4 linked regions of the Diceros bicornis minor genome follow. The protein of the gene in region 1 interacts with the protein of each later gene in a pairwise test. Links are inferred from orthologs where the notes say so. Each region holds a gene or a part of one and is shown in the gene's direction. Other genes may lie near its edges.

Evidence for each region.
Region 2: the proteins of TLE5 (region 1) and KIFC3 interact in binary tests that used the Homo sapiens proteins (3 or more experiments, as listed by UniProt). The two-hybrid records come from large-scale screens. The link is inferred for Diceros bicornis minor from reciprocal best matches to the Homo sapiens genes TLE5 and KIFC3.
Region 3: the proteins of TLE5 (region 1) and BYSL interact in binary tests that used the Homo sapiens proteins (3 or more experiments, as listed by UniProt). The two-hybrid records come from large-scale screens. The link is inferred for Diceros bicornis minor from reciprocal best matches to the Homo sapiens genes TLE5 and BYSL.
Region 4: the proteins of TLE5 (region 1) and SMAD3 interact in binary tests that used the Homo sapiens proteins (3 or more experiments, as listed by UniProt). The two-hybrid records come from large-scale screens. The link is inferred for Diceros bicornis minor from reciprocal best matches to the Homo sapiens genes TLE5 and SMAD3.

What each region holds. Positions count from the first base shown.
Region 1 is NW_026691553.1:2,386,392-2,394,325, reverse strand, and holds the start of TLE5 (TLE family member 5), read left to right. Parts: upstream 1-4,921; 5' UTR 4,922-4,992; coding exon 4,993-5,019; intron 5,020-6,120; coding exon 6,121-6,218; intron 6,219-7,934. UniProt on the Homo sapiens protein: Transcriptional corepressor. Acts as a dominant repressor towards other family members. Inhibits NF-kappa-B-regulated gene expression. May be required for the initiation and maintenance of the differentiated state.
Region 2 is NC_080771.1:11,205,517-11,212,759, reverse strand, and holds the start of KIFC3 (kinesin-like protein KIFC3), read left to right. Parts: upstream 1-4,242; 5' UTR 4,243-4,733; coding exon 4,734-4,751; intron 4,752-5,048; exon of another isoform or gene 5,049-5,116; intron 5,117-7,243. UniProt on the Homo sapiens protein: Minus-end microtubule-dependent motor protein. Involved in apically targeted transport. Required for zonula adherens maintenance.
Region 3 is NC_080753.1:23,515,726-23,523,685, reverse strand, and holds the start of BYSL (bystin), read left to right. Parts: upstream 1-4,950; 5' UTR 4,951-5,239; coding exon 5,240-5,507; intron 5,508-7,960. Other genes in the region: MED20 (mediator of RNA polymerase II transcription subunit 20), read right to left, coding at 1,934-2,088, 4,697-4,710. UniProt on the Homo sapiens protein: Required for processing of 20S pre-rRNA precursor and biogenesis of 40S ribosomal subunits. May be required for trophinin-dependent regulation of cell adhesion during implantation of human embryos.
Region 4 is NC_080744.1:61,121,087-61,128,365, forward strand, and holds the start of SMAD3 (mothers against decapentaplegic homolog 3), read left to right. Parts: upstream 1-4,279; 5' UTR 4,280-4,768; coding exon 4,769-4,974; intron 4,975-7,279. UniProt on the Homo sapiens protein: Receptor-regulated SMAD (R-SMAD) that is an intracellular signal transducer and transcriptional modulator activated by TGF-beta (transforming growth factor) and activin type 1 receptor kinases.

The sequences.
Region 1 (7,934 bases):
GGCGGTCACGCAAGGGAAGTGTTGGACCTGTTTTTTTTATCTTAAAGTTTGAAATTTTGTTCATTAGGGAAATTGTTTCATTTGTTGTGATCTGTTCAAAGATTGCCTGATGCAAATCAAAACCACAATGAGATGCTACGTGGCATCCACTAGGATGGCTATCGTGAGTTTTGTTTTAAATGGACAATAATAAGTGTTGGCGAGGACGTGGAGAAATTGGAAGCCTTGTGCACGGCTGCTGGGAATGTGAGATGGTGCAGCCGCTGTGGAGGACAGGATGGTGGTTCCTCAGAGAGCTAAAATAGAATTACTACATGATCTATGGCAATTCCACTCCTGGGTACACACTCAAAAGAAATGAAAACATACGTCCACATCAACACTTGCATACGCGTGTTCATGGCGACACTGCTCACGGTTGTCAGAAGATGGAAACAACCCAAGTGTCCATTTGATGATGGATCCACACAGCGTGTCCACCCACACACTGGAGTATTACACAGCCGTGAAGAGGAGTGAGGCCCTGACACAGCCACACCGTGGACGGACCCTGAACACACGACGCTCAGGGAGAGAACCAGACACAGAAGGACACACGGTGTGTGAGTCCATTGATGTGAAATGTCCAGAACAGGCAGATCCGCAGACAGAACGTGGGTTCATGTTTGCCAGGGGCTGGGGCAGGAGGATGGGAATGACTGCTAATGGAGACGGGGCTTCTTTTTGAGGTGATGGGATGTTCTGGAACCAGATAGTGGTGATGGCTGCACAACATGGTGAATGTATTAAATGTCTCTAATGGTAAACTTTATGTGTATTTTACCACAATAAAAAAAAATAGATTGCATTCAGATGTGAGGTCTGGGCCAATTTTCCTCACCAAAAAAAAAAGTCTTAAAATAGTGCTTACTGTGTTGACCGAGATTTTTGGGGTCCCCTTAAATGTTAAGCCTGAAGAAAGTGTCTCACTTGAAAGTACACTCAGCCTGGTCCCAGCCCTGCCTGAATGAACCAGGGAAGTCACAATGAGGCCACACTGAGAAGGTGACATTTAAGCCAAGACTGGGAGGAGACGAAGGAATCAGCCAAGCTGGGATTTGAGGATGAGCGTTCCAGGCAGAGGGCACAGCCCGTGCAAAGGCCCTGGGGCAGGACCGGGCCTGGCGTGTTGGAGGAACAGGGAGGAGCCCGTGTGGCTGGAGCAGAGGGAGGAGGGGGAGAGAGGGAGGAGAGAGGGCAGGGAGGGGACGGGACAGGTCGTGCAGGGTCTGGTGGGCAGCAGGGAGGACGTGGGCTTCTCCCCCGAGGGAGGTGGGAGCCCTGAAGGGCTGCGCGCAGAGGAGGGAGGGGACGTAGGTCAAGTTTTAAGCCTGTCAGCTCTGCAGGGGAAGGAATTTCGTCCTCCTTGGTCACTGCTGTAAACCTCCACTAAGAAGCACCTTGGCACACAGTAGGTGCATAAACATTTACTGAGAGAATGAATGAATACTGGCTCCATGTGGGGAAGGGGGGACTCAGGTGCAGAGCAGGAAAGTCCCGGGGCCTCCAGCCACCCGGCGGGGTCGTGCCAGGCCGAGCAGGACGGCGGAGGCTCCCGCTCCAGCAGCCCCACGGGGGAGGCCCCGGGCGGCCACCTGTTTGCTCCGGCCCCGATGAATGGCCGGGCGGCCCCATCCATCAGGCACCAGGCGGTGCCTGGCTCTGCCCAGCGGCCGCGGCCCCGCGCATGTCTAAGCAGCCCGCGAGGCCGGTCCCCGATGGTGGGATCCAGGAGACACGTCCCCGCCCCGACCTGGCCCCAGCGGTGGCCCAGAGGCCCCGGGGAGAGGACAGAGCAGGACATGGAGTCGGGGACGGGTGGGGGCCGAGGGGTGTGGGGGGCAGCCACCCAGACAGGAAGAGCTCAAAAGCCCCAATTCCCCCCAAATTAATTACACCATCAAGACTGTGCCCTCCTGGGTTGGGGCTCTGGCCGTGCCTTTCCCTCCCCGGCCGTGTTCCGTTCTTTCTGCCCCCAAAAGCTCCTCCACGCACTGGGCCTGCCCCAGCCCGCCCCTTCCTAAACCCCACTTTGGGCGTGCCCCTGGTCTGCTGGCCTCCCACCTGGCCTCGTCTATTCCATGACCAGCGAGAACCTTCCACCATCTGGCCCTAGAGGCCTCTCTCTGCTGCTCTAAGCCAGGGCTTCTCAGCTGAGGGCGACTGTGTCCCCCAGGGGACACTGGCCATGTCTGGGGACATCCGTGGCTGTCAAGACTGGGGGTGCTTCTGAGCATTGAGTGGGTGGGGCTGGGGATGCTGCTCAACCCCCTACAGTGCCCAGAACTGCCCCCCACAGAGAATAATCCAGGCCAGAACGCCAAGAGTGCAGTCTCAGAAACCTGCTCTATAGCCTCCCACGGCTTCCTAGTACCCTCCAGGTCAAGTCCCCACTCCTCAGCGCTGAATGCAGGGGCCCGCACCGTCCCGGCTCCCGGCCCCCCGCAGCCAGTATCCCCCCATGCCCTGCCTTTGTGCCCCACCCGGAGGGGCAGTCTTGCTCAGCGGTCAAGGGCCCGAGGACCTGGGTTTACATCCCGGCTCTGCCACCTCCCGGCTGTGTGATTTTGGCCAAATCACTAAACCTCTGAGTGCCTTAATTTTCCCTTCTTTCCAATGGGCACAATGGCTGCACCTAAGTTAACATGGGAAAGGCAGGGCCTGGTGCATGGTGAAAACATACACAGGTGGGTTGGTTTATTATTGCTCATGGTTTGGGTCAAAATCCTGGGCTGAAAGGCCCAGCTCTGCCCCCCAACCAGTCTGTGCTAAGTGGGAGTGCTGGTCCCCAAGGGCCAATACTGGGGGGTGCCTGCCTGGATGAGGGCCAGGCGCAGACGGCCTCCCACGAGAAAGGTGTCTGGTCCCCATGGTCCGGGGGGAGGGTGGGGATGGGGACAGGGCTGGTTTCACCGACGTGAGTCTGGTGTTGCCCCACGGGGTCCTGCACTCCAGGCCCCGGCGCCTGCTTTAATGCTCTGTTGTCACCATCTCGAAATTTCTAACCACTTTTGAACAACAAGTCCTGCCATTTCATTTCAGCCCTGGGCCCTAAAATTCTGTAGCCCGCCCCATCAGGGACTCTAGGACGATTTGTGGGGTCTGCGTATTCCAGAACCCGATGGGAATACCGAAGAACTTTCCCAAACTTGTTCCTTTTTCCTTCCAGCCTCAGGACTAGGGAGACCCTGCATTTTCGAGACTCGTCTGCGGCCCCCTCAGATGCTGTCTTATTTAATATGTGGATATTTTGCGCATTATGAATTTTTGGGGGCATTCCTTTTTATTTTTTAAAATACTGCATTCAAGTATTATTTATCTTGAAGGCTTTTTGCTCTGGGGGGAGACTTAAAATTTTGCTTATTTATGTCACCCTAGTCCCGGCCCCTCATGTGCCCAGGAAAGGGGACCGGGGTCCTAACCATTTTACAGATGGGAGAAGCAAGGGCCCAGAGAAGTTAGACACATCCAGGGAGGCAAGCTGCACAGACGATGACGAGGAGAATTCAGACTGCGGTTAGCACGTGCCAGGGGTTGATGGGCATTATTTCAACAGCTTCTCTGAGGTCTGTCCTCCACGTGGCCGCGAGCAGATCCCATCAAAATCTGAGTCAGAGCCGCCCCTCCTCTGCCCACAGCCCTCCAGTGCCCCACCTCTCTCAGGGGAAAAGCCCGAGTCCTCCCCTCGGCCCACCAGGCCCTGCACCATCTGCCCTGGTCCTGTCACCAGCTACAGAATTTGCAGGGCCCAATGCAAAACGAAACTATCAGGCCCCTCCTTCAAAAATTATTAGGAATTTCCAGACCACAACAGTAGATCATTAACCCAAGCGCAGGCCCTTCTGGGAGCCGGGCCCCTGTGCGAATGCGTCAAGCTGCTGGCCCTGCCTCCCTGCCCTGGTTTCCTCCTATGGTCCCCCGGTGCCAGGCACAGTGCTGCCTCAGGGCCTTTGCACTTGCTGCTTCTGCCTCCCTGAACGAGCCTCCACGCCGGCAGACCTCCACCAGCTCCCTCTCTCAGCTTCCGGTCCTCTCTGCTTCAAGGAGGGCCTCTCTGCCTCCCTCTGTTTGAAATCGCACCTACCTGGCCCTGCTCTCTGCCTTATTTTCTCCATAGCTGTTACCACCATCTGACCCGCCAGGGACTTGGCTGGTGTCTTCGTGTGTGTTCGTCTCTAGCGTGCCCCATGTCGTCTCCCCCAGAGTAAAGACGTTGTCTCCACCCCCCGCCCTGGCCCCCACGCCCTGGAGCAGGGCCTGGCACACAGTAGGCGCTCAATGAACGCGTGGGGAAGGCACGGCCCCCAGGAGGCCGGCGGTACCGCCGCCGCCTTGCTTCCGAGGAGGAAACCGAGGCTCGAGAGAGCAGCCGGCGAGCCGAGGCTGCAGAGCGTGTCCCTGGCACGCGTCCAGGTCGCGCCATGACAGCCGGCCGTGGCGAGGGGGCGGCGGGCCCCTTTCCTTGACAGATGGGGAAACCGAGGCCCCCGCGGCCGCCAGGGCCACCGGGGCCGCCGGGCGGGGGGGGCGGGCGCGCGCCGTGCCCAAGGTCACCGCGCCGGGCGAGGGGCGGCCCGGGGGAGGGGCTCGGCGGGCCTCCCCGGGCGCGCGCCCCCCTCGGCGGCGCGCACGGGGCCCGGGCGGCGGCGGCGGCAGGTGGAGCGGGAGCCTCCGCGCAGCCGAGGCCGCGGCCCCGCCGGCGGCGCCGCCATTAGACAATAGGAGCGGCGGGGAGGGCGCCGGGCGCGCAGGAAGCGGGGCCCGGGGCGCGCCGGGGCCGGGCGCGCGGGGAGGGGGCGCAGGAAGCGGGCGAGGCCGGGCGCGGGAGGCGGCGGCGGGGCCCCGGGAGCTGCCGATCGGCGCCGGGACAAAGGCGCGGCCGCCCGGCGCCCCGAGCCGCCCGAGCCGGGGCGCACAGCCGGGGCGCAGCCCGCGCCCCCCGCCGCGACTGACATGATGTTTCCACAAAGCAGGCATTCGGTAAGCGGGGCCCGCCGGGGCCGCTCGGGGCCCGCGCCCCCCCCCAGGTCGGGGCCCGGCACCCCCCTCCAGCTCCAGGCCGTGCGCCCCCCCCCAGATCCGGGCCCGGCGCCCCCCCCAGGTCCCGCGTCCGGCACCCCCAGTTCCCAGCCCGGCCATTTCCCCCCCAGGTCCGGGCCTTGTGCCCCCCTAGATCCGGGCCTGGCACCCCCAGTTTCCAGCCCGGCCATTTCCCCCCCAGGTCCGGGCCCTGTGCGCCCCTAGATCCGGGCCCGGCGCCTCCCCCCAACTCCTGGGCCCTGTCCCTTCCAGCTCCAGGCCCAGCGCTGCTCCCCCCCCAGCTCCCAGGGCTCCCCCACCACGCAGCTCCCAGTCCCCCTCCCAGCTTCCGGGCCCGGAGTCCCCCCCCCCAGCTCCCTGGCCGGGTCCCCTCCAGCTCCCGGCCCTGCGCCCCCGCCCCGCAGCCCCTGGGCCCTGCGCCCCCCCACGGAGCCCGGCAGGGCCTGAGCGGCCTTGGCGTCGGGCCTGGGGCGCCCCTAACGCAGGGGCTGCTCTCGGTGCCCGGGAGTGAGGGGAGATCCGAGACGCACCCCTCCCGGAAGGGCCCGGAGGAGGGGTGCCGGGAATCGGGGGGCCCCCCAGGAGATTTGGGGCGCTGAGAGGGGCCCCTCCCCCAACGGGACTTTGCAGGGAGGCCTCGCTCCCTGCCAGCTTGGGGAGGGGGCTCCCCGGGACGCGTCCCCACCGCCCTCCCAGAGGCAGTCGGGGCGCTCAATGTGCGCCCCCCTCCCTGCGCTTTGGAGGGGCGGTAGAGGGCGCACCCTGGGTCCCCGAGGGCGGGCCTTCAGCGCACCCCCCAGCCCGGGGGTGGCGGGGACAAGGCGGCTCCGGGGCGCGCCCACCCCCTGGCTTCCCTCGGGAGAGGCAGGGCAGGAAGCGAGGGCGGGGGCGCGCCGGGGGCTGTAAACACCGGCCCGGGAAGTGGGGCGCGGGGGGCGGGGGCGCTGCAGCTGGGCCTGCCGGGCCTCAGGGCCGCCCGGGAGGGAGCCCCCCCGCCCCCCGCCCGGCCCTGACCCTGACCCGGCCGCCCCCTCCCCGCAGGGCTCGTCGCACCTACCCCAGCAACTCAAATTCACCACCTCGGACTCCTGCGACCGCATCAAGGACGAGTTCCAGCTGCTGCAGGCCCAGTACCACAGGTGAGGAGGGCGCCCCCGCGCAGGCGCAGCACCGCGGCCTGGGGCGAGGTCGTGGCCCCTGCTGTATACATCCTGAGCACTGGACCAAGAGTAAACTCACTTCCTCTTCCCAACAGTCCCATTTCACAGATGGGAAAATTGAGGCGCAGAAAGTTAAATCATTTGCCCGAGACTCGTGGCTTCAGAGCCCCCCTCCCACCCCCATCCCTACTGGATAACAGACCTCCCAATAACTGTCGGGGGTCCCTCCACCCGCCCACCCCCCCAAAAAAGAATTCTGTAGCCTGCTATACGTCTCTCTGCTAGTTTTGCAGAAAGCGTCCCGGCAGCCAACAGATTCTCGAAGGTGCTTCTCCCTCCAGAATGGAATCTGCTGACCTGTCTGCAGGGCCTGCCCTCTGCCCCATCTGAGGGGAAGGAGCTATTGTTATCTCCATTTTCCGCCTGAGAAACTGAAGCCCAGAGAGGTTAGGGATTTCCCGGGGACGCACAGCAAGCAAGTGGCGGAACTGAGAGTTGCACCCGATCTCTCTGGGTTGAAGAAGGCCTGGGGGGGCGTCCAAGGCCTCTCTGGACCTCAGTTTACCCACACACAAGTGTTCTTTGAAGGATGCTGGGTTTCCTCGAAGAAAAAAGGGAGAATAGTGAGTTTTTCGGTTTTTTTACAAACATCCAGCCTCTTGGAGGTGCTTCTTAGACTCCTCATGTGCTAAATACTGAACAGACATCCTCTCGTTTAAATCTTTCTTGTTGTCCCATAATCGTGCCCATTTTAAAGGTGGGGAAACTGAGGCACGGGCAGTTGGAAGGCAGGCCCCAGGAATTTGTTCTGGTCTGCGATGTGCAGGGGTCTGGTTGGCCTTTCCGAGCCCCTCCAAGGGGTCCTCCGCTCCCCGACCCCGGCCCTGCCCCCCGCACAGTGACCGTGGGGTGGTCCAGTCGCAGACACCGAGCGTCATATTGCTGCCACAGTGCTGTGTGACCTCGGGGGGGCCAGAGCCCCTCTCTGTGCTTTGGGGTCTCCGTGCACTGGACCCGCACTTCCCTCTATCCAGTGAGGGGCCCTGGCACGTTGGGGGCACACACCAGATCTGCCAGGAATCCAGAGTCTGGGATGAGATTGCGATTTTCTTTTTTTTTAAGTGGGGTTAACAAATGCGCATTTTTAAAGCAAATTAGAGAAAATAAACTCGTGGAGGCCACGGCGACCCCAGCTGCTGTCCAAGTCCCGGTCAGTCTGGTGGAGTGAAGCGCCAGGCTCCTGGGGTGACCATACGATCACCAAGCACTCATTAGATGCTTAGTGTATGCCAGGCGTCGTCCTAAGAGCGTTTCTGGTCTTAATCCGTGTCATCCTTGCCAGCCCACCCCGGGAGGTGGGTACTTAACAGACGCAAAGATTGAGGCCCAGAGGGGTAGAGACGTTGGCCCAGAGTCACACAGCATCGAAGGAACACGGCGGCGTTGAACCCAGTCCGGCAGCCTTGAGTCTGTGCTGTCGGCTCCCCCTTGGGGGGCTTCGAGAAATGCCCGCAGCTCGTCCTTACTGGGGGAGGCCGGGGTCACCATCCATTACCCAGCAGTGGAACTTGCACCTCCTCATGAAATCAAAGCCCACGGCAGGGGGGGGCCTGGACCACCTTGGGGATTCCTCGGTGAGTCCACCCCAGAGCCCTCCAGCCGGCCCCCGGCCTCTCAGCCCCTCTGCGGTCTCGG
Region 2 (7,243 bases), on another chromosome or scaffold:
ACCCAGGACCCCCTGACCTCTAATCCCAGTGTTAACCATTGCTCTATACTGTCTCCCCTTAATATAGTAATAACATCTGTTCAAGGTCAAGTACCAACAAGAAAGTCCGAGCCAGTGACAATAAGTTAAGGGTGGCGGGATTTAGGGACTTTTTCTTCTCTTGGTTTCTCCTACATTTATGCAGGAAAAAAAAAATTGAAGTTAAAAAAAAAAACAGCCACCTAGAATTTGCAGCAGATGGGGAAAATGAATGGGGAAGTTGAAAAGAAGCAGGATTGATGTTAATAATGCATGCCTTGGCTTAGAAGAAGGAGCTGGAATGATTTAGGAGCAAGGAGGGAAGCCAGGAGCTTTTGGGCCAAGGAGCCCAGGCGGGAGAGCTGACTCAGAGGGAGGCGGGGAGGGGGCGGGCCTTATCTTCCCCGGCCGTTCTTGCTAAATCTTTTTATTACCTGGTGCTTAAGTACACATCTCCTTAGTGTTTGCATTCCTCTCATTTTTTAGACTACAGGAAATGATAAAGAGGGGGAAAAAAACCCCTCTGTTTGCTTTCCACCCTGGAGAGCTCAGAGGGGGCTATCTCTGCCAAATTGTTCCTCAGGTCAGAAAGAGGTTTTAGGTTCCCCTCCCCTGAGAGCCAGGAAGTGCTGCTAGGTCCAACCTCCCTGGCAAATGCAGAAAGGGAGTCACTGTCCAGGGATTTGAAAGCAAGGTGGTTTTATTGGGGGGAGGGTGGCCTTGGTTCCCTGCAGAGACCTTTAGAAATGGGAGAACTGTTCCCCTGGTAATACAGCTTCTGGCAAGAAGGTGCCTTGGGCAGGGATGGGGAGGGCACAGAGGGAGCTGGAAAGGGAGAGAGGGGAGAAAGGTACCATTTGTTCAAATCTATTGAGCACCTAATGCCCGTAGGAGCCCAGTCTGTAGCAGACAAGAGCGACCAGAAGGTACGGTCCAGCCAAGGGTCATCCAGGACCCCACCCCTTCATGTCCACTTGGGAGCATGGCTTCCTGAGAGCTGGCAGGTGTGAGCCAAGAGGCAGCCCGCCTGGTACACCCAGAGGTCGGGTACAGCTGGAGAGGAGTCACACTCCTGTTTGCAGGGCCGGCTGCAGAGCCCTCCCCAGCCCCTCCTCGGGCTGCTCCCTGGCTCTTTCTGCGCTGTCCAGGACAGACTGTTTCAGGGGTATCTGAAGATGAGGATTCAAAACAGCAGCTAATTGAGTCAGGATTACTTAATATGTGACTCAACTCCAGAATGGTGTTCTCTAACTTCAAGTTTTCTAACTTCAACTGTTTATTACCCAGACTCGTGCAAGGATATACACTTGTCACAGCTGCAGGGTGCTCCTTACAGACGACACTGAAATAATTCCTTAAGGATTCTTCTCTGACTTCCGATAAGAACGATCATGAATTTATACGGGAAGAAGGTCTGCTCGGATATGCTTCATGCACCCTGTTCTTCCTGTCTGAATTATACGTGATCTATTTATTTATTCAATAAAAACTTACATGACGCCAGGCACTGCAGAGGCTTTCCCTGTGATCAAGTCAGGAAAGGGCCCTGCCCTCAAGGAGCTGATGGTGTAGACAGGAGGGGTGATTACAATCCAGTGTGGGGGGTGCTGCAGGGGGATGAGCAGTAGGGGGACTGTGGTCTCTGCGGGGGTCAAGGAAGGTGACCTCTAAGCTTGAAGGACTTGGAGGAGGAGTCGGCCAGGTAAAGGAGGGTGGAGGCAGGTGGGAGCGGGGCGAAGTGGAGGACTTCTGGGCAGGAAAAACAGCATTGCGGAGGCCTGGAGGCGAGCGAATCTCAAGTGAAATCGTTAAAACCGGAAAATCGTGTACATCTTACGTGTGCTTTACTCTGGGTTACTATGAGAATCAGATTCAACACAATCTGGCTTGTTATTCCTCTCTTTTGGTTTCCTTCTGGGTGGAACTCCTTTGGCCTGGACTGTGGCTATCTTTCTGATGGATGCCTGAGAGTTAAGGGGCTTCAGGCTCTTAGAACACAAAGATGGCGCTGCCACCCCCCGCCTGGGGGACCGAGTGGATGTGGATACGGATCTGCAGTGTTCCGGTCACTGCTTTGTCTGGCCCTCCCTGAGACAGCTCTGCCTCCCCCAGAAGGTGGGCAGGAGGTCAAGACCAAAGGCTGAACCCAGGAGTCCTCACTCATGGGTTCAGGACCCCAGCGTGGGATGGCCAGGTTTCTGGCAAATCCTCCACCTTCCCTGTGGCCAGGGGAGAGTTGGCAGCCTCCACATGAAACAGTCAGCGAAGTTCCTGGGATAAAAATGACCTTGAAGTCATTGGTATGCACTTCCTGGTGACATTGTGCATTCTTAAACTAAATTCCAACAGTCATGAAGCAATTTGTTTTCCCATTTCGTCAGAGTTTTGCTAGAATTCCGAAAATTCCTCCTCCTAACACCTCAATTTTCTTTTTTTTCTGTGAGGAGATCAGCCCTGTGCTAACATCTGCCAATCCTCCTCTTTTTTCGCTGAGGAAGATTGGCCCTGGGCTAACATCTGTGCCTATCTCCCTCCACTTTATATGGGACACCGCCACAGCATGGCTTGCCAAGCAGTGTGTCCGTGTGCGCCCGGGATCCAAACCGGCGAACCCCGGGCTGCCACAGCAGAGCGCGCGCACTTAACTGCTTGCGCCACCAGGCCAGCCCCTCAATTTTCTTTTTCTTTCACTGGCGCTTTGATCTTAATAAACTCTTGCAGCTGTATACATCTGAGAATACTGTATGTATGTGTATCTACGTACACACAGACACCTATTGGGTTCCAGTCTCAGCTTTATCACACACCAGATTTGTGAATGAACTTTCAGAGGCTCAGTTTCCTCTCCTGAAAAACTGGGGATATGATGGTGCCCCCCTCATAGGGCGTTCAGGGTTAAATGGGATCTTGTTTCTAAAGAGCTTAGCACAGCGGCTGGCACCGTATTAGCTTAGAATAAATGGTAGCTATTATGTGCATAGAAAAAAAAAAGACTGTACTGAAATGTTGGCAGCATTTATCTCTAGTGGGTGGGATGATGGTTACAATGAACATCTATTACTTTTGTAATCGGAGAAAAAGAACAATAAATGTTATTATTAATTTAAAAATCTGGCTCTGGCTTTGGCAGAAGGAGCCTGCAGTTAGTGTCAATGTACCAGCCAGCGAGTAAGACAGGGGTTACACCAGCACTGTGAAGGCAGACGCTACCCCCCCTCCAGTCAAAGACTATAATAAAGGGAGGTACTTGGTCAGGCCTCTAGAGGAGTTTCACCCTCATCCATCCTTACCGTTCCCTGGCCACTGCTGTCTGGAGAGGCAGGCAGGGGGACTCAGAGAAGGTAACTCTCAAATTATGGCCTTCTCTCCCATTGACGGGGTTACCCAGGGTTCTTAGCTGGAAATCTCTAACTCTCAATGGACCCATCCCAGGAGAGTGACATCTATCCTCTACTGGGCCTTCACTCAGCATCTCAGTTAGAAAATAAAACACACACTAGCTCACTTCCTGTAGGGGGATTGCGAGTGTCCAGGTCTGGCATCCAGAACAATCTGGGCCCAGGACCTTGGCTCTGTCTCCCGTTGAGATGCTTGACCGCCAGCCCAGCGCCTGGGCAGCTGCAGGGGAGAACCCTCCTGGAGCTGCACGCCCCCTCCAGTGCCCTCCTTGCTCCTCCTGGGCCATCCCCTGACAATCAGGAAGGGGCAGCGTGCCCACCCTCCTCAGATTGTCTGCGGAACCATCAGCCTGCACTGGGCTGGCCTCCAAGCTTCATTCTTTCTCCTCCTTCCACAGCCTGGAGGGGGAACATTGCTGCAGACTCTGGAGTAAATGCCACCTCTGTTTGGGAGACAAAGAACAGAGTAGCTCCTCTGGGTCAGCTGCCTCTCCTTGGCTGGCTGGCTCTCTGCCTCCCCGAGGCCTCTTCCAAGGCATCCTACAAGGAGGGCCTTCCGGGGCTACACCGGGAGCCGCTGCCTGCTCCCGGAGCTGCTGCACTCAGAATGTGTTTTCATGGGAGCTAAAAGGAATATTTTACCTTAAAAAAATCCCAAGTAGCTTGCCTGCTCTGGAAGATGTAAATTTGCCTGGTGGGGGAGGTGGGGGTTGTGGGTGGAGCTGTGGCTGGGGAGGCAGCACGGCCTATGTATTCCTACCAGAGCTAGTGGGAGCATGTGTGTGATAATGTGTAAAAGTACGTGTGTGTAACTAGAGTGTGTAAGAGCACGTGTGAAAGTGTGTACTAGGATTTAAAAGAATGTGTATACTGCAATGTGACCGAATGTGTCCTAGAGCATGTGAGGGAACATGTGTGTGAGCATGGGGAAGTATTTGTGTGAAAGTATGAGTGTGGTATGATGTGAGTGCATGTGTAAAGTGTATGAGAACATGTGAAAGTGTACACACGTATTATCTAGTGTCTAAGAGCATGTGTGAAAATGTTGCTAGAATGTGAAGAAAACACGTGTACTAGAATTTGTGAGTGTGTCAAGGATGGCAAGGGAGCACATGTGAGAAGTGTGTGTGAGTACTAACCAGAGTGTGAAAGTTTTGCACTAGCATCTGAGGATGTATTAGAGTGTAAGTGCAAAAGCATGTACATATGAACTGGTGTGGGATGCGTGTGAGAACTGTGAATGCGTTCGTGTGTACTAACTAGAGCCTGTGCGCGAACATATGTGTGCTAGTGTAAGGGCCATGAGGACGTACGCCGATGTGCGTGCACCAGCAGGTGAGCGCTCACGTGTGCACTAGCGCGGGCGGGACGCGGGGAGCGCGGAGCCCAGGGGGAAGGTCTGGGGGGACCAGGAAGGCGGCGGAGCGGGCGCCCCGCGCGGGAGCGAGCGTGAGTGCGCGCGGGAGCCTGTGCCGGAGCGCGCGCGCCGCCCCCCGCCGGGGTCGGAGCCGGTTGCCATGGGAACGCGCCGCGGCCCGAGTTAATCATTTCCTGTGGAAAGTGTGCGGGAGGGGCGGGAGCGGGGCGGGAGCGGGGCGGGCCGAGGAGGCGGCGGCGTGGAGCTGCCTCCCGCCGGCGGGCCGGGCCGGGCCGAGCCCCGGGCGCTGCGGCGACGCCGGGATCCTGCCTCCGCCAGGCCGGTGAGTCGGGGGCCCGGGCGGGCTGGAGGTGGGCTGGGCGCTCGCGGTCCGCCCGGCCCGGCGTTCGGGCGCCGCGTGCGGGCCCGCCCTGCCCGCGGGACCCCCCTGCCCAGACCCTCTGCGGGGCGCGAGGAGGGCCCGGCCCAGAGGACCTTGCCCGGAGCAGGGCATGGGGGCGGCACGTCCCCTGGGATCGGAGCAGCCTCGGGACCCCCTTTGCAATTTCATTGGCCCAGGAGAGCCAGACCCTCCCGGGGAACCGCGTGCCAGTCAGCGCCGCCCCCTCCCCGGGCAGAGGTCGCCGCACCCGCAGGGCGCCCTCGAAGGCTGCAGTTTCGGGCCCTCCCACCACGTACGTCCCCTGGGCAGTTCGCTTTCCCCCTCGCAGGGCCGGGGGTGGGGCGGGCCAGTCCCGAGGTTGGGAAGGAGGGCCTGGGCCGCTGCCTTCGTGGGCACTGGGGAATTGAGCCATTGACATCGGCAGCCTGGGGGGTCCCAGCAGCGAGGGCGAGCCGGAATCCAGCTCCTTTAGCCCCCTGTTGTGAGTTAGAGCAGAACTCTGGCGCAGTGAAGGGCCTGGTTCTGGGAGATTTTAAAGAGGAAGCTGCATTTAAATTCTCAAGTAGCATTTGCAGTCTTCCCTACCCCGAACACATCTTTCTTAAGGTTGGAGGTGGTGGCCACCCCTGGACTTTCACCTTCCCTGGCTGTCCCTCCGCTTGAGCCTGGGTGAACACCTATCTTTGCCCCTGCGGCGCATTCCGCACGCCCTTGATAAAGTAGCCCTCTCCTTGGCCAGGGAGAGCCTGCATTTGCAAAGAATGCAGTCTCAGAGTGGGGCCCTGTATTTGCAGTGACCGGACTTCAGGGACATAGGGTGATGAGTTCTGCTGTCCTCACCGGCACCAGGGAGCAGAGGCTTTGAAATCTGGGTTGCCCTGGAAAACCCAGGATGTGTGACTGTGGGCAGGGGAGGTCCCAACCCTTGTCCAACCTCCCTGACCTTCTGCCGGCTCTCCCAGGGAGACAGCCCTCCCCAGCAGTGGTCTCTGGGCGGTTGTCAAGTCTGTCCCTCAGTCATTGCAATATCCCTGGTCTGGGGGGAGGGGGCTGCAGCTCTACCACCTGGGGCTAAACCCAGAGAGGCAGATGCCCCTCCCCCTCACCTGCCCCCCCTGCATTCACCCACCACTGGAGGGAGGTCACTGAAAAATAAAATTTTTGAGTTCTTTATACATGCCGTTATTGTTCTGAACACTTTATATATGCATTGTCTAATCTTTACCCCAACCCTATAAGGTGGATTTCTCCCCATTTTACAGATGGAGATAGTGAGGCACAGAGAGACCACATAATTCTCCTAGGGTCACACATCTAGTAAGTGGCACAGCCAGGTTCTGAGCCAGCTCCACTGTTATGCTCCCCACTCCGTCACCCCACCCCATGACCTAGGTGGGTAGAGTCTCCAGCCTTGGGCTTATTTGAGAGTCCTTGATACTTTTGACCTTCACAGCCCTCCCGCTGCTAAATTCAGCTGCCTTTTCCTCTTCAGGATCTTGCACACGCCCTTCCTCTTTCTTCCTGATATCTTCCTGGCTGCCTCCCCAACTTCCCTTCCTGAAAGCCACAGATTCTTGCCCCTCAGACTTAGCTGATCTCCTTAAAAGTCTTTCCCCTCAGCCGTGGAACCAACCTTCGATGCCCTACGCCGTCTCACCTCTCCAGCAGCTTGGTGGGCAGGTGGAGCCTGTCTCTCTCCCTCCTTGCCCGTCGGGCCGCTGGTCCTTGGGGTTGGTTGTGTGCCCAGCTCTGTGCCAAGCAGCCTGGAGAAGAGGGCATCTGGCTGCTGCCCCTTCGACTCTACACTGGTCCATCTCCAGTTCCTCTGTGGAGCCCGCCCACATATCTGGATTAGCCTCCGCCGGGTTCTTTGGACCACAGCCCCCTCCCAGTGAGACTGCCCCCAGGAGCCTCCTCCTCCAAGTCATCTTCCTCCCGCAAGGAAGGCAGAGACCACGACTCCGACTCCGAGCCGGGAGCCTGGCATTCTGCCAGGGCTCTGCTCTGCGAACATGGGTCACCAGATCTTCGGACCGCCCAGCCCTGCGCTCATAGTTCTTTTTCGTC
Region 3 (7,960 bases), on another chromosome or scaffold:
ATCACAACAAAGTACTTTCACACCTGCATATATTTGTGAAGGAAGTAGAACTAGCATTACTGTTCCCCTTTTACAGATGAGGAAAACGAAGCTAGTGGGTCCCAGGCCAGCAGCAGAAGCAGCAGCAGCAGCACCTGGAACTTGTGAGAAATGCAAATTCCCCGCCCCACCTCAAACCTGTGAATCACAAACTCCGGGCGTGGGGCCCAGCAATCTGTGTGTTAACAAGCCCCCTGTGATGCTCACGCTAGTCAACTGTGAGAACTTCCGATCTGAAGACACAGAGCCAGTAAGCAGCAGAATCGGAACTCCAATCCAGGCCTCTGACCTCAAGTTCATCTCTCTTTTCATTCTACCACACTGCCTGCCACTGATATGGTGTCTCCCCAACTAGACTACAGCTCCTTGAAAGTAAAGGTCTGATCAGGAAAACAGCCCACACAGGCAGTTTCATAGAAGTAGTATGCCATCTTATAACTACATACAAATGCCTTGTTTTCCAAATGCTTTCATAACCGTTATCGCTTTTGATTCTTACTTCCTTCCTATTGAAGGCAAAATAAATGGTAACACTGCATTTTTATCAACAATGAAATGCAGTACAGCTGTTAGCTACCGTTTATTAAATATTTATTACATGACAACCTCAGCTCTAAGTGCTTTGCATGTATTAACTTATTTAATTATCACAACAACCCTACGAGGTAAGTACTATGACTACCTTCATTTTACAGATGAGAGAACTGTATTAGGAAGGGTGCAAACACAGAGCCCACACCAGATAGCTTCATTAGAGGGGATTTAATACAGGGAGCGAAATACAGGGGTTGGAAGAACTGAAAAACAAACGGAATGGTGAGGCCACCCAAAGATTAGCAACACAGGGAGCCACCACCATCCCTAAAGCTGGAAGGAAAAAGAGAAGATATGCTGTTATAAGAGCCAGGAACAAAGGCTGCCTTGCAGGAGCTAGAAGCAAGGAGGAGTCACAGCCATAACCACTGCCCAAAGCAGAGGGAGAGGGAGTGCAATACTGTGGTCTCCCTTTCTCCCATCCTCTAATCTTCCCCAGTGCCTCTCACTGACCCAAGGTAACTGAAAGGGGGCCTGGCAGTTGTAGTGTGCAGGTCAAGGGCAGGGATGAGATCTATGGGAAAAGAGGCAAATGACCGACATAGAAACAGTCACAGGTCATGGGACTTAGCTAAAGTTGCAGTTAGCAGAGCCAGGACTCAGTTACCTGGTTCCGAGATCTAGGCTCTTAATCACTGGTATGGAACTGTCCAAGGTCAAGTTACTGCAGAGCCAAGACTAAGAGAACTCAGGTTCCCTAAGTCATATTCAAAGATCCTCTTTGCCTCCCTACCACCATGACCATCCACAGCCCATCTCACCTCTCAATACATTTAAAACAAGAGATGATTCATTGGTCAAGGTTATGCTAATGAGGTAGCCAAGGCCACTGGCTAGGTGTGGGCAACAGGAAGCCTTTCTGCAGAAAATTCTGAAAACTCTAAAGCTCTACAAGAATCATATCCGAAGACTTCTGAGCCTAAAAGGAGACTTTCTCAAACTTCAGACTGCATAAAGATCATCTGGGAAGGTTGTTAAAATGTAGATTATGAGGCCTGTAGCACCAGTCAGTCGGTAAGCAGGGCCAGGAATCTGCACCTTTAACAAGTAACTCAAATGATTTAGTCAGTCAGTGACCAACCCTCCAAGAAACACGGCTTTAAGAATGCAAAGTGCAAAAAGACTAAAACATAGGCCCAGTCTAAGAGATGAAGGACCAAGAATTAATGAATTAAGAAACACCTGTGCCACACGTTTAAGAATACCACCTTTAGCAGAAGAACAGAAAGATTTCAATGAACATGAACATCTATCAACTCCAAGCCAGGTTCCAGCCATCACACAGACCCTTCTCACTGACCTTGACTGCCAAGGGTAGAGGCAGCCGTGTGGTAGGTCTCACAGTCCACACAAAATGTTCCTTGCTTCTCTGCCCCAAGCATCTCCAATTTCCTGGTGAGGAGCTCCACGGTCTGCTGGACACTCTTGCCCTCAGCGACAGGCATCTGGGACACACTGGAAGGGAGAGTACCAAACCATCAATATGCAATGACACATGTGCACTCGCTGAACCACTCACTCACAGAATCACAGCTCATCAGGGCCAGAAATTAACTTCGAGACCACTGACCCTGACCCCCTCATTTTAAAACAGAGGAAATAGAGGCCCACGGTCCCTGAGGACATCTCTCAGGACTCGCAGAGAAGTGCAGTGAACTTCCTATCTATCACACCAGCACTTCCCAAGCGTAGCATGAGAAAATTTTAGGTGGCACACAGACTGAGCCCTCGATAACACTGAGTTGTATAATGAGCTTTGTGATTCTTTCACTTCTGACTGTATGAAGGAGAAAGCCTCAGTTTGGGGATAGTGTATTTTTACCAACTCTACAACACTTTGAACGTGCACTGTCCAGTACAGCAGACACAAGCCACATGTGGCTATTTACACTTAAACTAATAAAACAAATTAAATTAAAAATTCAACTCCTCTGCTGCAACCACATTTTAAGGGCTCAATAGCTCAATAGTGGCTGGGGGCTAGGGTACTGGACACTGCTAATATACAACATTTCCATCACCACAGAAAGTTCTATTCGACAGCCCTAAGATCAAAAAGAAAGCAAGCCTCGAGTTTATAATCTTCGGGGATGAGAGGCAACAGTACGTACAAGAATTTAATCAAAACAATGAAACAAAAAACGTTATTTCCAAGATTTCCTTCTATGGTGAGTGAAATTGGCTTCCCCTTTAGAGGGGTGGGTAAAAATCACCAAGCGCAAACTATGTGCCAGGCAGTGTCCAAAGGCCTTCAGATGAATTAAGTCTTCCAATCCTCACAACAGCCCTATAAGATGTGCTATTATTTATCTCCTTGTTACCAATGAGGAAACTAAAGTACAGAGGGGTTGAATAACTCACACAAGGTCACACAGCTTGGTGTGCTGTAGCAAAGATTCAAAGCTAGGCAAGCTGGCGCCATGTCCACACTCTTAACCACCATACTGGACTGCCTCCCTAGGGACACAGTTGCCTGTTAAATACTTTAAAGGAAAATAAATAGATTTAAAAGAAAACACTAATAAATAATAGTAGAGCTGGTACTTGGCTATACAAAAGTCCTAAGGAGAATCATATGTGAGTGAATGTTGGGAGACACTGCATTACTTTAGGATCAGTCAACCAAATGAAGATATAAAAGTAGAGTCCTGACGTTGCTAATAATTGTCACTACTCTCCATAAGAAAAAGCACTGATAGGGCCGGCCCCGTGGCTTAGCGGTTAAGGGCACGCGCTCCGCTGCTGGCGGCCTGGGTTCGGATCCCGGGCACGCACCGACGCGTGGTTTCTCCGGCCATGCTGAGGCCGCGTCCCACATACAGCAACTAGAAGGATGTGCAACTATGATGTACAACTATCTACTGGGGCTTTGGGGGAAATAAATAAATTTAAAAAAAGAAAGAAAAAGCACTGATAAGCAATGATAATGATGTGCCTTATTTTGAAATATAAGAGACTCCCTAAACTGATGCTACTGAGGTCAGAAGTCCTAGGAGTCGGAGAAAGTTGATAATGGTCCCAAAAGAGAGCCCTTCCCTCTGTAGGCCTTCTCTATTGAAAGAACAGGGGCTCCAGGGTTCCAAGCCTCTGTGCTTCAAACTTTGCATTCCCATCGCTCACATATCCCCTTACACTAGAGAACCTGAGGAGGCTCTGATGACAACTGTAGGAAACAAAGGTGCAATCACCAACAAACCTCAAGAACCTGGGTTATCAGGAGGAGTAGTGCCCACAGGTTCTTATAGAAGAAGCCTACAGCCACTAGCTTCAGATATCCTGGCCTCCAGCCCTCTCTGACTGGAAAGATGTTCACACTTCCCGGTATTAAAAAAAAAAAAAAAAGCCCTGAAATCTAGCATTTTGGAACTAATGCCTCCAAGAGCATTAGGCCCACACCTTTCCCTGCCACCCAGACTTATAACATGTTAGAGCTAATAAGTCCATAAAAACTAGACCAACCATGTAATTAAACATAGTAGGAAGGGATCCTGAAAAGGTGACATGCCTGGAACCCCAATCTCCTAATTCCCAATAGCTTCTTTTTTACCTCTAGACAGAGAATCTTAAAATGGTCAAACTAGAACCAGATACAGGCTGGTCTAACTGCATTTAGCGGCTGTAAGGAGGAGCAGGCGAAAACCTAAAAAAGATACTGTCTCCTCCTTGCCTATCCCTCAACCCCTCCAGACCTGCCTGCAGATGGATCCTAGTCCGGACATCCTATTTCCGACCCTAAAGTTCCACCCCCAGCAGTACCACAGCCCCACGGGCAGGCATATGGACCAAGAAAAAACGAACGAGGTACACAACCATTGATGGGTTCCTGGGATAAAACCTTTTACCAGCCGCCTTCCAAGAGGAAGGGGCGCATCTCTGAGGAAACAGGCCCTGAGACTCCGCGACCCTCATGGTGTCCCCCTCACCCACACAATCCGAGGACATCTTGCTCAGCTCCTGAGGGACGGCGGACCCTGATCTCGCTCCTCCTCCCGGGTACAGTCCAGGCTCCAAGGGCCCCTTCACGACCCCAAGCCCCGCCCCACAAAATCCCTCGCACTCCTACCAAGTCACTCCCATGGTGTCGGGCCAGGAAGGTGGCAGGATCCAACAGCTGAAAGGCAGCGCTTTCTGGCCGCCCACGCTAAGTGAAGCCCCCTACCGCCAGGCTCGCTGGAGGGAGGTGCTCCGGAAATGACGCAAAAACAGAGCGCCCAGTCGACGCGCCCACGAGGAACAGGGGCTTGTCTAGGCGCCTCCTCGGTGACGCATGCAGTGACGTCACTGTCCGACCCTGGCCCAGGCTTGCCGCGGGAGAAATTCTCATGTGGCCGGGCCTAGATCCATGAAGCTAGGAAAGCGTGGCTCGGCCTGCCACCACTTAGAGAAGCCAACGTTAAAGGCAATGAGTTTATTCAGGAGTCCTGCTCCAGGACCAGTGAGCTCTTTTAGGGGGTGGGGCGTCGCTGATGGCACTCCCGGCCTCCGAACGCTAGGGAACGCTGTGATCGCCGTCTCGCCTGTTGGGCGCGGGGTTCACTGCGCAAGCGCAATCAGGGCTTTTTCCCGTCCCCACGTGTGAACCTTCCCGGCGAGGTTTTCGAGAAAAATGCCCAAATTCAAGGCGGCCCGCGGGGCCGGGGTTCAGGAAAAACATGCGCCCCTGGCCGAGCAGATCCTGGCTGGGGACGCGGTGCGGGCAGGGGCCCGGGAAAAGCGGCGGGGCCGTGGAACCGGAGAAGAGGAGGAAGAGTATGTGGGGCCCCGGCTGACCCGACGGATTTTGGAGCAAGCGCGGCAGCAGCAGGAGGAGCTGGAGGCCGAGCATGGGACCGGGAACCGGCCCTCGGTGCCGCGGGAGCGCACCACGCGGCTGGGTGAGTGGCGGGGGCTGGGTGCGAGGAAGAGCGCGGTTAATTGGAGTGGACGGCTGAAAGATGTCCGCCACGGGAATAACTTGCAATAAAAAATAAAAGGAGCGTGGTTTATATTACCACCTTGCAAAGGTAATGGAATGGGAGACCCAGCCCTGGAGCGAATTTAGGGTGGTCAGAACCCTCCACGCCCACTCATAGTTTTAGGCACTCCTTTCTAGGCACCCCCGAAGTTATGCCAACAGGAAGCGATTGCTCACGCTACTAAGTTTTCCTAGCATTTATCCATTTGTTCTCTAATTACTTATGGGATGTCTACTACGTGCTTCGCACTGTGCTAGTTTAGATGGTTTGGGTAAAGAAGTAAACAAGATAGACTTGTGCCTGATTTCAGGATATTAAAGTCTAGCCCAAGAGAGAGACAATTAAAATAATAATTGTAATATATTATTATAATAATATTACATTAATACTATTCTAATAATAATAATAATCTCAACGATAAAGAAAGTATAGTTTCTCAGATAACAATAGCATTAACCTTGGGGGTCGGGCTTCCCAGATTGCATGACCTTTGTGCTGAGACCTGAAAAACCAGTGCAGAGTGTTCTGAGCAGAAAGAACAATATTGTGTAGGGGCTAAAGAGGAGAGAGATTAATTAAAAGGTGGTCAGTATTTTTTTATTAGGGTGAGTGTTGCCCTCCGAGTTGCTTAATCCATTTCTCAGATCTCATCTTTCATTTGTCCGGAGAGCAGCATTTGACACAATTGAACACCTGCCTCCTGGCTGCAGTATCTTTACTTGACTTCTAAGACAGTGCATTCCTGTTTCACTACTTCTTCACTTCTCAATAGTCTTTTCTGGCTCCTCTTTTGTCCCCAGCCTCTTATCATTCAAGAGCTGCAGAGTTCAGTCCTTGCACCTCTTCTCGTCACTTCTCTGGTGCTGTCATCAGTTTCATGGTTTAAACACCATCTATTTGGTGACTTCTCCCAACTTTGTATTCTAGTCCTGCTTTCTTCCATGAAGCACAGACTCGTATATTTCAGCTGCCTATTTGGCATCTCCCATTTGAAGTCTAATAAGCATCCCGATTTTAACGTGTCCAAAACAGAAATCCTGACCTTCTCGCCAAACCTGCTTCTCTCACTGTCTTCCTCATCTCAGTCAATAGCATGATATCCTTCCTTTTGCTCAAGACAGAACCCCTGGGCTCCTCTCTTTCTTGGTCCATATCTGATCTGTTAGGGAATCCTGTTGACTCTACCTTCAAAATATATCCGGAATCAGACCACTTCTCACCACCTTGGAACACCATCCTGTTCAAGCCACTGCAATGTCTCGCCTGGATGATTGCAGTAGCCCCCTAATTTAGTATCCCATACCCCCTATAGTCCACTCACAGCTCAACAGCTAGAAGATTACAGCCGTCTACAAAGACCTGTGTGATCTGCCCCTGTTGTTCTCTTCACTCCACCCATATAGGCTTCATTCTTTCTTAAACATGGCGAGTTAGGGCCGTGGTTGTTCCTTCTGTCCTCATACGCCTGTAGGCTTACTCCCTTAGTTCTTCACCTTCTCAGAGAGGCCACTCCATTAAAAATGGCAACATCCCACCCCTGTCTCCACACTCCCGAATGTCTCTACTCTGCCCTGTTTTCTTTTTTCATAGCACGTGTCTTCTTTTAACCTAATATATATCATATTTATTCATCTGTCTCCCCCATTAGAATGTAAGCTCTGTGAGGGTAAAAAGTTTTGTTTCTCTTGTTCGCTAATATATGTTCAGCACCCAGAACAGTGCTTCACATATAGTAGGCACTCAGTGTTTGCTAAATGAATGGATTAATGAATGATGGTGAGGTAGGTAGGAGCCAAATCCACAAAAGACTTGGAGGCTGTGCTCAGGATTTAAAGCCATTCTAAAGACAGTGAGAAACTATTGGAGTATATGGAGACCAGGTAGGGGATTGTTGAATTAATCCAGGCAAGAGATGATGCTGCTCTGCTTAGACAGAGCTGTGAAGGATCTGGGAGATATTCTATGAGGTAGAATCGAATAGGACTTGGTAATTGATTGAGTGTTGGGGGTGAGGTCAGGGGACGAGGCAGGCCTGCTTCCCAGGTTCTGCCTTAACATTGGGTAGATGGTGGTGCCAGTGTTCCACATGTGGAACACAGTGAGTAGTGTAGACCTAGGAGGGAAAGAGAATGAGTTTGGTTGGTGACAGGTGAAGTTTGAAATGCCTGTGGGCCATCAACAGTGGCTGTACAGATGCAAGTGTACTTCCCATAATGAGCCAACATAAATTGTTGAAAAGATAAGATGACCCTTTTGTGAATTCTATGGAGGAAGAGGAATAAAGGTTGTTACAGGAAAAAAAAAAAAAAAAAGAGTGGCTGTACAGGAGGCAGCTGGAGTTAGAGTCTGCAAGGAAGGGAGATCCACCGACA
Region 4 (7,279 bases), on another chromosome or scaffold:
ACATTTTGTTTATCCATTCATCCATCAGTAGACAGTAGAGTTGCTTCTATCTTTTGGCTATCATGAATGATGCTGCTATGAACACTGGTGTGCAAATATCTGATAAATACCTGTATATACCCAAAAGTGGAATTGCTGGATCAAGTGGTAATTCTACACTTAATTTTTTGAAGAACCTCCACACCGTTTTCCACAGTGGCTGTAATATTTTACATTCCCACCAGCAATGCACAAGGGTTCCAATTTCTCCACATCCTTTCCAACACTTTTTTTCTATTTTTTTTCTTTGATAATAGCCATCCTAACGGGTGTAAAGTGGTTCAATGTGTATTTTTTTATTTATATGACCTCTTTCAAAATGTATACAATTGTTTTGTATATATGTCATTTTTTACATAAGGAGCATTATGTTATTTATTTCATTCTGTGTGTTACTATTTTCACTTGGAATGGTTTTTAAGATTCATCTATTTGTTTTGTGTATACAGAACTCATTACTTCTAACTTTTGCATAGTAGTCCACGGTGAGCATCAGTCATGTCTATGTATACTGAGGATGTACTATGTGCTTGTGGCAAGCTCTCTACACCGATTATTTGATTCCTTACAGCAATCCTAAGAGGTAGGTGTTATTATTATTCCCATCATATGCATGAGGAAACTGACAAACAGGGAGTTAAGGGACGTGCCCAAAGTCACACAGCTGGAAGTAGTAGAGCTAGAAGTTTAACCCAGCTCTGCCGGGTGCCCCGGGAGAGCTCGCGTGTGTCAGGGGCTACACAGAGCTACAGACCAAGGCTCTCTCTTAGGTGAGGGCACTCTGATGAGAATCCTAGTCCTGACCAGATCCTGACTTATCTCCATATTGCCAATCACCTCCCTTCACTAGACATCACTTTATGTCTCTGCAAAATGAAGACAGGACAATTTTAATGCTCTTTCTAGAGTCACCACTTGTTGATTAAACCTCCGTTAGCTAATGGAAAAATAATCAGAACTGAAGTCAGGTGTTCGTTTCTTTCCAGTATTCCACATGGGAGCTGCTCCAAACACACAAAAACCCTTTGGCAAGTCGGCTAGTGAGGCAATTCCCTGATAGGACTATTCCCAGGGAAACGGAGTTGTTGCCTCCGGCCCCATCCCACCTCTCTTGAACTTTGCACTTACCATGATGAAAAATTAACCGGGCAAATGTTTCCCTTCCAAGGACAACCTCTACAAAAGCCTGCCTGGCTGGGCCCCAGGAGACCAGGCGCCAGAACGGAGTTCCTATGCATCCAGAGCCACCCACCCATTCACTGCCCAAAGTCAAGGGAGCATTTGGGGTCCCCCTGGCACTGGGAGGAATCCATTCCACAGCCCTCCTCGCTGCTTTGTGAAACGGGGCTTCTTCCCTTGAGTCTTCTCCTGGAGAAAGCGAGGCCAGAGGAGCAAGAACTAGCCCAGAAATGGGACTTCTTGGACTCACACCTGGGTCCAGCACTGTTTTTCTGCGTTCACAGCTGTCCGTGTCACATGGATGCCTGCATGTGAAGAAAGTGCAGGATAGCATGGTTCAGCTGCCCTAACTAGCTGCTGACTAGTTATTTCCTCCCCTCAGGAAAATGAGAGGGCTGAACAAGGGGCCCTTCCAATGCCATGATTTTAGGGGTTAGGTACACGCTAGGCCCATCCACTATATTTAATCCTCAGATCTTTTCTCCTTACTCCATAGTGCATATCACCTCCCTTCACCAGATACCACTTCTGCCTGTGTAAAATGAGAGGCTTGCATTGGAGGAGAACAATTTTAATGCTCTTTCTAGATTCACCACTCTGCACAAGAAGAACGGTTTGCTCCACTCTTATAGCTGAAAGAGCAAATGCTCAGTGAGGTGAAGGGAGGGAGAGAGCCAGGATTGAAAGCCAGCTTGGTCACTGATGGAGCTTGACGTCCTTTTACTTTATCTGCCTGCCTCTCAACAGTTGGACCTGCTTGATTTGATGTTCAGGTTAAAATTAATGTTCTACCAGGAGATAATGATTGCAAGGGCCCCTTTCTCCCAGGCACACACCTGCCACCCCTTGGTGTTTCTCCAGGCTGTGAGGTCCTTGAGGTTAGGCACTTGCATCTTTCATTTCAGCTTTCCCAGAAATGGGTAGGAGGACTGAAACACAAAGGTTCTCCATAGATCCGCCTCGAACGGAACCGAGCTCCCTCATCCGCACTCTGTGACAGGCTCTCCACGGCATTTCAGTGACCCCAAGGTGTGGTCCTATTCCTTTACAACACTTGACTGTTTGCATTAGATTTCAACAACCACCCTAGGAGGTGGAGAGCAAAGCTATTTGTAGCCCCATTTTACAGGTGAGCAAACATTTCTTGTAGAGGCACAATAGCGAGCCTGTGTAAAGAACTTTTGTTTTGCAAAGAGCTCTATCAATGATGTCATCTTTGCCTTCCACAACTCTATAAGGCAGCTAGCTGGGTGCAGTGGCAAGAACTGGGACTGAAGCCTCACAATGCGTGGGGTTCAAATTCCAGCTGTGCTGCTTGGAATCCTGAGTAAGTATTGTAATCTCTCCGCACCTCAGGTGCCTCCTCTGTGAACGGGAGGCAGAGGGACATCCACCTCAAGGGCCATTGTGAGGATTAAATTAGATGGCAGCACTTGGGCGACTTGGAATGAAGAAAGCCATCAATAAAGGTTGATTGCCTTCCTTCCTTCTCTTTTTTGATGAGGGCTGGGAAGAAGGGAGTGAAACCTAAGACCATAGCAGCTGCGGGTCAGCTGGAGGACCAGCAAGGAACAGGAACCAGGTCGTTAAGCCTCAGTTGGGGTTCAGGGATTCTCCTTTAAGGGCCAAGCAGGCGGGGAGTCAGGAGGGGAGGGCAGAGAGCGCAGCGCTCAGTGGCAGCAGCTGACAGGCCTGTGGGAGGCCGTTCTCTCCACAAGGCAGGGACCCCTGCAGCTTCTGGGCTGACTTTGTGGATTCAGCCACACCTCACAGGGTTTTGTAACTCCCCACTGGCTTGAGGGTTTGCAGATAACTTCTTTCTCACCACGGGGGTTTCCTGCTGTTAAAAATAAACAAAGCTCTTAGACACCGGGCTAGAGGCCTGGTAGGGGAGGGTCAGCAGAGGAAGGCCCTGGGGCTTGGGGTAACTCCTGAAAGCAGCCGAGGGGTCTGTGGGCAGATGCCCCTGAATTCTGCTGGTGGGGAGAAGAGCCCCCGAGCCCCCCAATATCCCGGTGTTTCTTTGCTTCCCACCAAGGCTAACTTTGAACACATCGACTTCCCGAGCACCGCCCTTTTGCCCCACTTTTTGCGAGTTCACAGCTTTGGAAACAAAGCTCTCTCTCTTTCTGTTTATTGGGTGTCGAATTTCGGATCTTTCTGTATCATAAGATTCAAAACACCCTGCAATGTCATTTTTCCCCCAAGATAAATTCTAAAGCGTCCCGATTCATTCCTTCACGAATTCAACAGATGTCTTTGAGGCCTATTTTCTGCCGGGCACTTGATTCACAAAGCCCAAGGGACCCCTGGCTCCAGCTATTACCTAGGGTGTCACTGGAGTCCCCAAATCTCCCCTTCTGAGAGCCCACTTCTTCCCCATCCCAACTTCCTCCTTCGCACACAGCCTTGGGGCTCTCAGCCGGTGTGATCTCACCGATGAGAGAATCAAAACAGCCCCCGGGGCGCCAGCGCCGGCCAAGGCCCCGGACCGGGATCAGCGCGCGCGCGTCCACGTGCGCCACCACTTCCCGGGGCTCAGCGTTCCGTGCGCCCTCTCTCGGACCCGGGTCCTCCCAGGGGTACATCGCCAGCCTTTGGTCTGAGGGCGCTCATTCGCTGCGAGTCTAACCCTCTCCGGCCGGCAACTCCAACTGAGCTTCCCGAGTGTGGGTTCCCAGAGCGGACGCCACCGCCCGAGCCCAGCCCTCCCGCCTAGGGCCCCTCTCGCCGCTCCTTTCCCACGACTTCCTCCCGGCGCCCGCAAGACTTCAGGTCCGGGCCGCGCGGGGTCCTACGCGCTCCAGCCAGGGCCGCCGCTGTCCCCGGCCGCCCGCGTGGGCGTGCGCTGCGCCGGGCGGGGGAAGGCCGGGCGCCCTCCCGGACGCTGGAGGCGGGCCGGGCGCCCGGGGAAGGAGGCGGCGGGGCGCGGGGGAGGAGGCGGGGAGCCCCGGCGGCAAGGGGGCGGTGACAGCGCCTGGAAAGGAGGCTGCACGCGGATTTGCATGAAACACAGACTGGGAGCGGGCGGGAGCGGGAGCGCGGCGCACGCCCCGGGCCGGCCCAGCGAGCGAGCGAGCGAGGGAGCCGGGAAGGAGGAGGGAAGCGGGGAGGCGAGGCTGCTGAGGCGGAGGGATCTGCGCATCAAAGCGAACAAGGCGAGCAAAGTTTGGCTGGGGGTTGGACTTTCCTTCCTGGAGGCGGCACCCAAACAGCTACCCCGTGCGGAAACCCAAACTTTCTTTTGCCACTCCGAGTCTCGCGGCCGCCGCCTCCGCCCCGCGTTCGGGGCCTGCCCGACCCCGCGCCGCTGTCGGCCGCCTGCCCGTCTCCCCCGCCGGCCTTCTCCCCGCCGTGGGAGCCGCTCGGGGCGCAGGGCTGCGCGCCGAGCCCCGCAGGCTGCAGCGCCGCGGCCCGGCCCGGAGCACGGGCAAGTTCGCCGAGAGTTGAGGCGAAGTTTGGGCGGCCGCGGCCGGCCCCGGCCGAGCGCCCCTCTGCGCCCCCGGCGTCCCACCGCGCGCAGCCCCGCCGGGGGCGCCCTCCCCCAGCCATGTCGTCTATCCTGCCCTTCACCCCGCCGATCGTGAAGCGCTTGCTGGGCTGGAAGAAGGGCGAGCAGAACGGGCAGGAGGAGAAGTGGTGTGAGAAGGCGGTCAAGAGTTTGGTCAAGAAGCTCAAGAAGACGGGGCAGCTGGACGAGCTGGAGAAGGCCATCACGACGCAGAACGTCAACACCAAGTGCATTACCATCCCCAGGTGGGGGTCCGAGCGACCCGGGGGCGCGCCCGCCCAGCCCCCTGGCGTGGCGTGGCCGGCCGGGTGGGGTTGGAGCGGGAGGGAGAGTGTGTGTGTGTGTGTGTGTGTGTGTGTGTGTGTGTGTAAGGGGGGGTGGGAGCGCGGACAGAAAGGGGTTAGAGGGGACCCCAAACAAAACCTTCTCTGGATTTGCAAAGATTCATCAGAGCCTGGGGCTTCCACGCGGCACTCTCACTTCCAGACCTCACATTCGCTTTTCACCTCCGGGAAACGGGGGTGCTGCTGGAATTGGCCACCCCCACTCCGGGGAGCTGCGGGCTAGAAGTTGAGGCCCGCTTTGTTCAGCTCCGCGGGCCCGAGCCCCTCCTCCGCCGCCGCCTCCCGCCCCCGCGGCCCGCGCTCGTGGAGGTGGTGGTGTCTCTCCCTTTCTTTTCTTCAGTCTTGTCCCCCCACTTCTTTCCTCCTCAACAGGAATGCAGTCCGTACAGCTGGGGCTGTGGGTGAGGAGCGGGAGCCTCATGATTGACAGATTCCTTCTTCGTTCTTGCTTTGCCTTCGGGATTAGCATTTTTATCGAGTATTTTTAGACTCGGTTGTGCCAGTCTCCCGCCCCCTCCGCACACACGCACTTTAGTTGCAGTGCAATGCTCTGACTTTCAAATGAGAGACAAGTGGCAGAGAGTAGGGTCTTCTTCCCCGCCTCCCCCGACTGTTTTTGCTCTCCTTTGAGTCTGAGATTGCGGGTAGATGCAGAATAGAGGGGGCTCAGAGCCAATGAGATAACAAAACGCACCCCAAAGTGGGCCTCGCCTCGGCCCTCGCATTCCTGCAGAGCCCTCCTTCCCAAAGCGCTTTGCCATCTGTCTGGACCTCCTTTATCCTCCACATTGCGCTAGCTAGGTCAGGCGGGAGCTCACAGATGGCTGATAGAAGGGGTCAGTGACTTCTCTGCATTCCCCAGGGCCTTCTCTTAGCTTAGCTGCGCCTGGCTGAGAATTAGGGGGTGTGTGTGGGGGGGTTATCTTGGCCTTCTGTCTCTCCCTCTCAGCCCCCTTTAAGGTCTGATTCTGCGCCAAGGGAGTGTGTGTGGGGTGGGGGATGTCCTTGGGGTCCCAGGCTGCAGAGGAATGAGTAGAGGGTCCCCAGGGCCTGAGCCCTGCAGAGATTGTCATCCTTGCTCCTGGGCCGGCAGTGGACTCCATCCTTGGCCACCTGCTCGGGGCAGCTGTGCAAGGGCTGCCAGTGGTGTCAGGCAGGCACAAAGCAACATCTGTCCGTGGGAATCCGGGGCAGGCCTTCTCTGGAAATGAATGCCACATATGGTGGGAGTGCTGACTTAAAAAATAATAATTTTTTAAAAAACTGGGTGGATCTAGTCAACAAAGGGGGAGCGAAGGCAGTGTGGTGTCTGGGAAGTGCGCTCTGGGCGTGTGATCTGGAGCCAGAATGGACTTCAGAGGAGGTGGTGTGATGTGGTGGTCAGTGAGCCCTGGGTTCTGGTCCCAGCTCTGGTTCTTAGTTCTTCTTTATCCCTTGGGTTGGGGGTTGGGAGTAGGGTGAATGAGTGTCCTACTCCGCCCCCCCCCCCCGGGGGGAGGGGTTTCCAAAACCTGTCTTCTTACCTGCCTGGGTGCATTGATAATAAGTGCTTTATGCCTTGAAACAGAAAGAAAAGATGGTATCAATTATAAAACGAGCAGCTGCATGAAGTGTTTTCCAGTTTACAGAGCACTTTCACATGGTTTTATGAGATCCAGAAAGAAAGAAACTCCTGGAAAACAGATAAAGCAGTTAGGCTTAAGATTGATCTCACTTTTAAAGTTGAGAAAACTTTGGAGGTGAGAGGTGGAAAGGCTTGACATCGCAGACATGGGATTCTGACCAGAAGTGCTCCTTCTCCTACCCCATGCTGCTCTTCACCTTGAAGTTCTGGGTACATTCTTTCCTGAATGCCAAAGCACTGTTAGCTAGGGGGTGAGGACTGGAGGGGGGGCAGTGTGGATCTTTGTTGGTAAGATTGCTGATGTTGAATCTGTGGGCTGGTGACAGCCTGGAGGAGAGGCCTGGCTTCCCCTGGCCTTGGTGGGAGTTTCCCTCTGGGGGAGCATGGCTCTGGCCTGCCTCCAGGGTCCTGCAGCCTGAGGCCTATGGATGCTTTGGTGTTTCTGCGAGTTCAGGCTAACTTGCCCCCTGGCTTTCTCATGACTCTGTTAGGGCCTCTGGTTGCATCTGGAGGCATCTTCTACCTGCCTGGCAAGGACTTAATGCTGAGGCAGATTTTTTTCATCTTTTCTCAGCTAGGGAA